2 linked regions of the Ovis aries genome follow. The protein of the gene in region 1 purifies or fractionates together with the protein of each later gene. This does not show direct contact. Links are inferred from orthologs where the notes say so. Each region holds a gene or a part of one and is shown in the gene's direction. Other genes may lie near its edges.

Region 1 (3,748 bases):
AAGGGATAAAAGGGGCTGAAGAATTCGCCCTCTTTTCTAGGTAAGAAACAATTCCCTTGCCCCAGGGCAACCTAGTCTCGCTGCCTGAATTCCTACTCCCTTCTCCTTTCGACTACCAGCAAACGGGAAAGAGAGAAAGAGTTAATCATTTAATCCAATCTGAGGCAGCATTTCGGACCGCGAACAGGAATGAACAGATATCTAACTCCGAAAACATAAGGCCAAGTTCCAAGTAGGGAGCCTCCCTCAGCCGTGTCAGAAGCCCTAGGCTCATTCTCTATACCTCGCTTCTAGGCCCACGGTGAGGACAGAATTATTAAGAAAAACAGAAATGGCGGCAGTTCCGCTTTCTGAATGCCTAATCCGCCAGAGCAAAGGTGCCCCAACTTGACTCAAGTTCAGCCGCACACTTACCTAAAGACGCCACACTTCTACGGGACCGGCTCACTCACACCCCACAGCCGAAACTGGGCTTTCGGCAGCTTGAGAGGACAACCCCACCCACGAAGCGCACCTTTGTTTCTGATACAATGTTTTAAATTGCGCGCTGAGTTCGTTCGGCCAATCAGATAGCGAACCTTGCACCTACCAATCAGTGCAAGGGGGCGGGCGAAACCCGGAAACGGTTTTCTTAGGCTTGACCTCTCTGCTCAAATGTGGGACGGGTTACCAACTGTTGGATTTTGGAGCTGGGTCAACTGGAACTTCTGTTTATCAGTTTTTCTTGAACCCTAGGCATTTCTTTTCTAAGAAGCCTGAAGGAAATCCTAAGGCTTCAGCCACCATTCTCTGTTCTTTCGCACATTCCTTCTCAGGAACTCACAAGAATACCTGATTTGGGGCGCTGGTTCATCCTAGGGTGGGGAGAGGGGACTACATTTCCCAGGACGCACCGCGAATAAACGCTGGAACGCTATCTCCCAGAATTCCTTGGGCTTCAATTCGGCCAGAAATCTTCCTTCGGGGGTTGGAGACGTCGGGGCCAAGATGGCGACGGGAACGGGCAGTAAGTATCTGCCTTGCTCTTGCGTGGAAGGTGTTTGTAGAACCAAGGCCAGGCAACAGATCTGTCACACTCTTAGGGAGTAGAAGCAGTGATTCACCTGAGAGCCCAGAGCCATCAGAGACTTGGGCTCGAGCGGCGCTGTTAAGGCCAGCGGTTGGGGGTTGAGGGCCCAGAAGCGTGAAGTCTTACACTTAAGTAAGGCCGCGGAGTTTTTTTGCTTTTAGAATTTTTATTTATTGGCTGCGCTGGGTCTTCGTCGCTTTCCGTGGACTGTTCTCTAGTTGCCGCGAGGAGTGCTCCTCTCTAGTTGTGGTGTGCAAGGCCACGGAGCTTTGAGAAAAGCAGCCTAAGAAAATTCTTGTATGTTTGTCAGCTCTGCGGGGTGAGAGGGAAAAAAGGTGCCTTAGAGGCTCCGGCGTGCGGACAGAGATGCTGTGAGCCATATGGAGTGGCCGGGGTCCCAAAGAGTCATTTTCTGACGAACATTTGTGAGGCCTGTACTCACAGAGAGATGGGACATGTTAATCGTGAGCTTTTTCTGCCACTAGGGAAAAAATACATTTCCTGTATCTCAGCCATTTCCCTCTGTTTCAGGGACTGAGAAGGTCTTGTAGGCCTAACAGCTTGAGGGGAATGGGTGTAACTGAGAGAAGTAAACAAGTTTATGCTAAGAAGGAGGCGGGGCAGTAGCGGGGGTTGGCCGCTCGGAATCCTGGGAAATAAGGCCTGGGGTCCACTTTGGAATAAAGCATTCTTTTTTTTTTGGCCAGGGCAGAGCTGGGAGGTTGGTGGTTGGCAGGATCATGGGACCCACGTCCCCTCTAGGGAAAAGGCACAGACTTAACCACTGGACCACCAGGGAAGTTCCTGGAATAAAGCATTCTTAAAACTGGGTTTTTTGGAAGAACTGCCCTAAATTAACTTGACTTTTTTTTTTTTAAATATGGTAGAGTAACCATGGCATTTACAGAAAAATGTTTTGCCAGATAATCAAGTGCAGTTCTCAAGCAATGAATAGGCACCATCCTAGTGGTGGTGTTTACTAGAGAGGTGAAAATCAAGATTTGGTGATAGTGGCTCACTTTGTCCTTACAGGTTAGGACATTTTTGTATTAGACTTTTAATCCTCCCTTTGGGACTTAGTGCCTCAGTGGTTGTCTCTAAATCTTTCAGAACATAAGCTGCTGAGTACTGGCCCTACAGAGCCATGGTCCATCCGAGAGAAGCTGTGTTTAGCGTCTTCTGTCATGAGGAGTGGAGATCAAAATTGGTAAGGTATTTAGGATATCTGCTTCCTTGGGTATTAGAAACCGTTTTTTTTTTTTCCCCTTCATGTAAGTACCGGTGGATTCCAGTAGTTAACGTTTAAGCAGTAGTTAACAGCCTTCTTGAGATGCAATTACATATCACAAAATTATATTCACAGAATTCCCAGTATATTCACAGGATTTAACTTAATTTATTAAAATTATTAAAACTTATTAATATTTAATTTATTAAATTCACATAATTTACATAGGACCAATGCTAGAGTCTAATTTTACATTTTAAATACACTTGAAAGAAACCTCTTACCCTTAAGGAATCACTCTGCAAATCTCTTCGCCTCTCTAATATTTCCGCCTCCCTCACCAAACACTCATCTACTTTCTGTCTCTCTATAGCTTATTCTGATCATTTCATATAGATGGAATCATATACTTTGTGGTACTCTGGGGCTTAGCATAATGCTTTCAGGGTTCATGCTGGAGTATGCATCAGTACTTTATTCTTTGTTTTGATGAAATTGTAGTTCCTTGTATGGGTTTACCACATTTTGTTCATTTGTTGATGAACATTTGAGTGGTTTTTACTTTGCTGAATATTAATGCCGCTGTGAACATTTGTGTACAAGCTTTTGTGCAGGCATGTTTTCATTTCTCTTGAAAGAGTGGAATTGCTGGATCATAGTTGAGTTCAGTCACTCAGTCGTGTCCAACTCTGCTACCCCATGGACTGCAGCACGCCAGGCTTCCCTGTCCATTACCAATTCCTGGAGTTTACTCAGACTCATGTCCATTGAGTTGGTGATACCATCCAACCATCTCATCCTCTGTTGTCCCCTTCTCCCGCCTTCAATCTTTCCCAGCATCAGGTCTTTTCAAATGAGTCAGCTCTTCAAATCAGGTGGCCAAAATATTGGAGTTTCAGTTTCAACATCAGTCCTTCCAGTGAATATTCAGGACTGATTTCCTTTAGGGTGGACTGGTTTGATTTCCTTTCAGTCCAAGGGACTCTCAATGGATCATATTATAACTCATATTTATCTTTTTGAGGAACTGCTTTCAAACTAAAAAGTGGCCTCACCGTTTTACATTCCCACCAGCAATAAATGAGGGACCCAGTTTTTCTGCATGCTTGGCAAACATTTAGTCTTTTTGATTATAGCTATACTGCTGAGTGTGAAATGGTATTGTATTGTGGTTTTAATTTGTGTTTCTTTTAAGTACCAGAAAGTAGGACTGTGTGTGTTTTCCAATCTTTTTTTCTACCAGGACATAGTCTCATTTTTAACATTTGGTCTCCCCGCCCCCGACTTTTTTTTTTCTCTCCGTATCTAAAGTTACCTTTTAGTTGTCTTAAGTGTTAAAATTACTTAATAAACAAATTTGCATTTGTAGGGTTTATCTCTACTACTTTAACCATTCAAATGAGTTTATGAAAGCACCATTACTGATCACATGTAACACTTCTACAATTCTA
Region 2 (3,556 bases), on another chromosome or scaffold:
AAGGCATTCAAAAATGGTGAGGAAAGACGAGGGAGTTAGAACTGAAAATGACGTGGGAGCAGTGGATCATGATCAGTCGGTGGCTCGAGACTCGCCCAGGGGGGTTAGAAGACTGAAATCACTATCAAGACTGTGGTCAGGGAAGGAATTGGGGCTCCTCTCACCGGACGCGTTCGCGCCACCTGTCAGACTGAAAAAGCTGGGCGATGCTGAGGGTACCAGGGAAAAGAGTACCCCGGGCCTCGGGAGAAGGCTGTGGACTGCTGGGTCTCTGCCTTCGAGGCGCTCATTTGGAAGGGGAGGGCAGGAAGTGGGGCGCGCTAGACCCCGCGGAGACTTCACGTGGTCTCTGGAATCAGGCTAGGAGACGAAGGCGAACGGGTGATGGTAGGGTGCGCGATACTGCGTGCCCCTCCCCTGAGCCTCTCAACTCCGCCTCTCGGACACGTGACCACAGCCGGGGCGGGGTTGGGGGGGGCTCGCCTAGCTCCCGCAGCATAGCTCGCTCTGTTTCTTCCCTCCCGCCGCTGTGCCCTTCTTCTCCCCAGTTCCAATCCCTCCGCCCTCCCCCCCTCCTTCCGCATGCTCCAATAGGGATTCGAGCTGTGAAGCGCCCGCCCCTCCGCCCTTTTCTTCGCTTTCTCATTGGCTGAAGCTTCAAGGACGCGTCCCGAGGGCGGGGGGCAGCCATTGGTGGGATGAGCAATCCGAGTTCCCGGATGAGGGAACATTCTGCAGTATAAAGGGAGCGGGGAAGGCGGGAGACAGCGCAGTTTGAATCGCGGTGCGACGAAGGAGTAGGCGGCTGGTTCTCGCTGGGTGTCTGACTAGTCCTTTCTCTGCTTTGCTTGTTTGAGCTTCAGCAGAATTCGAAATGGTAAACTTGGTGGAGACGCTCGAAGACTCCGCGGGTTTTTGCCGGCGGGAGAAAAACCCGTTACACACGGAGATGGGGGTGAAGCGGCGACGGTTGGGAACGCGCGGAGACAGGATTTGGAAGAGCAAGGGGAGGTGTTTTGTCGGCGGCGAGCGGAGCAGCCTCGGATCTCGCGGCGGGCGGTGACGGTTGGGTGGCGCGCGCAGCGCCGCTGGGGGCCGGCGGGCGGCGAGCAGGCGGACCGAGGCGCGCGGCCGCGCCGAGCGCGCGGCGGGGGACGGGCGGGCGGGGTCGCCCTTGCGGCGCGCCGCGGGCCGGAGACCCCGGCTGGGCACGGGGCCGCGCTCGCGCCCGAGCCGCGGCGCGGTGGGGGAAGGGCGCGCTGCTCTGGTAATCCTATATTCTGCGTTCCTCCTTCGCTCGCGGGCGTGTGCGCGCCGCAGGCTGGCGGTAAGGCTGGGAAGGACTCCGGAAAGGCCAAGACAAAGGCGGTTTCCCGCTCGCAGAGAGCCGGTTTGCAGGTCAGTGGTTGTTCGTGCATTCTGGGAATCGTGGCGTTTTTCTTTCCTTTTCCTCTCTTGTTTATCATCGCTCTAGATGAGCGTTTCGTCTTTGCGTGGGTGATAGTGTCGCGACTTGGTTTACCGATGCAATAAATATCGGGGGGGGGCGATCACGTGTGTCTGTGGTGGGGCGCGTTGCTGCACCGGCGTCCATGACCCTGCCTTTGGCGCGCGTATAATTAATTATCTTTGGCTCGTCTATCTTTGTGCATTTATGTTTGTGTATGCTAAAAACGAAGTTCCCAGTGGGCCGTATTCATCGACACCTCAAATCTAGGACGACTAGCCATGGACGTGTGGGCGCGACTGCCGCTGTGTACAGCGCAGCCATCCTGGAGTACCTCACCGCAGAGGTAAATGGGTGTACGCCTATAATCTGGAAAAGGTTGGGAGGGGGTGGGGGGAGGCGGCGAGAGGGAAGGAGGAAAGTGATGCAAGAAAACTCCCAGGCTCTGTACGCAGCGAGAAGCTTCCGACAACGCTAGAGGGGGCTGGTGATCATGATGGGGATCCTCCTGAGCTTGACTTTGCGGCCTTAGGAAATAAAATTGCGTGCCCTCTTTATGGCTTTTGCTTATCTTGCCATTCAGGTAGTGGGGGAGATGACAGTTGGTAGATATACCTTCATCATGAAGGTTTGATTCTTGTCTGGATCTTGACGTTAATGAAAGTTGGAAGGAGATTGATCGCATTTTGCCTTCTAGGTACTTGAATTGGCAGGAAATGCATCGAAAGACTTGAAGGTAAAGCGTATTACCCCTCGTCATTTGCAACTTGCTATTCGTGGAGATGAAGAATTGGACTCTCTCATCAAGGCTACAATTGCTGGTGGTGGTATGTAAATATTAACTTATAAATTTCTCTAGAGAAAAGAATTTGCTTTTAAATTTCCCTCTAGTAATTTTCAGTCTAAAAGAGGACACAGTATATTTTCATTGATCTGTAGTATGGTTGCATCATGAAATTTGATTTCTCTTACGTACTTCTGAATTTTTACTCTGCGCTTACATTGAAAGACATCTTCCAAGTTGAACATTAAACTCTTGGTTTTAAAGTAGTATGTTATTTTATCCCTTTTCTAGGTGTCATTCCACACATCCACAAATCTCTGATTGGAAAGAAAGGACAACAGAAGACTGTCTAAAGGATGCCTGGATTCCTTATTATCTCAGGACTCTAAATACTCTAACAGCTGTCCAGTGTTGGTGATTCCAGTGGACTGTATCTCTGTGAAAAACACAATTTTGCCTTTTTGTAATTCTATTTGAGAAAGTTGGAAGTTTAATTAGCTTTCCAACCAACCAAATTTCTGCATTTGAGTCTTAACCATATTTAAGTGTTACTGTGGCTTCAAAGAAGCTATTGATTCTGAAGTAGTGGGTTTTGATTGAGTTGACTGTTTTTAAAAAACTGTTTGGATTTTAATTGTGATGCAGAAGTTATAGTAACAAACATTTGGTTTTGTACAGACATTATTTCCACTCTGGTGGATAAGCTCAATAAAGGTCATATCCCAAACTAGTTGTGTATAAAATTTGCTTGATTATAGTAGGAACAGCTTTGTTTTGAATAGGTATCTTAGCTAGCAATAACTTAAGCACATTTCTTCCCTTGAAATTACTGTTAATTCTGTCTGTAGATCAACAAAGTTAAAAGGCCCAAGTTTTTTTTTTTTAAATACATTGTAATGAACTATTAAAAGATTTTAAAACTTCAGCACAAGTTGATGTTTTTTAGGCTAAGTTTAACCATCTGAGTTCATCAGCTTTGTTTGCTGTTTGTGATAGCAGCAAGCACTACACCAGCGCACTGTGGGGACTTGGGTGGGGTTGGGGAGCAGAGGCCAGGTAGGAAGGTCCTATATGCAGCTGCCTACACAGTCTAAACTTTTCAGTTTAGACTGATAATGTTTGCAGTGTGCTACACGCTCTTTTGAAGTTTACTTGCATTAAATTGTTCAGTATATGGTAACATCTTTGGGGAACATACTATTCACATTTAACAGAGAATCAAGATTTTTTAAAGTCCTGAGTTACCATGTTTGCTGCTATGGCAGACAATATCTTTAGTGAACAACGTGTGAAAGTAGTTACTTTGTAATTAGGTTAAGTGGATC

Evidence for each region.
Region 2: the proteins of BRD8 (region 1) and H2AZ1 purify together in Homo sapiens (affinity purification with mass spectrometry; 4 studies listed by BioGRID and IntAct, with this or other methods). This does not show direct contact. The link is inferred for Ovis aries from reciprocal best matches to the Homo sapiens genes BRD8 and H2AZ1.

The regions. Positions count from the first base shown.
Region 1 is NC_056058.1:47,270,538-47,274,285, reverse strand, and holds the start of BRD8 (bromodomain-containing protein 8), read left to right. Parts: upstream 1-978; 5' UTR 979-987; coding exon 988-1,006; intron 1,007-2,179; coding exon 2,180-2,276; intron 2,277-3,748. UniProt on the Homo sapiens protein: May act as a coactivator during transcriptional activation by hormone-activated nuclear receptors (NR). Isoform 2 stimulates transcriptional activation by AR/DHTR, ESR1/NR3A1, RXRA/NR2B1 and THRB/ERBA2.
Region 2 is NC_056059.1:25,068,172-25,071,727, forward strand, and holds H2AZ1 (histone H2A.Z), read left to right. Parts: upstream 1-770; 5' UTR 771-874; coding exon 875-877; intron 878-1,320; coding exon 1,321-1,398; intron 1,399-1,679; coding exon 1,680-1,793; intron 1,794-2,144; coding exon 2,145-2,274; intron 2,275-2,522; coding exon 2,523-2,584; 3' UTR 2,585-2,955; downstream 2,956-3,556. UniProt on the Homo sapiens protein: Variant histone H2A which replaces conventional H2A in a subset of nucleosomes. Nucleosomes wrap and compact DNA into chromatin, limiting DNA accessibility to the cellular machineries which require DNA as a template.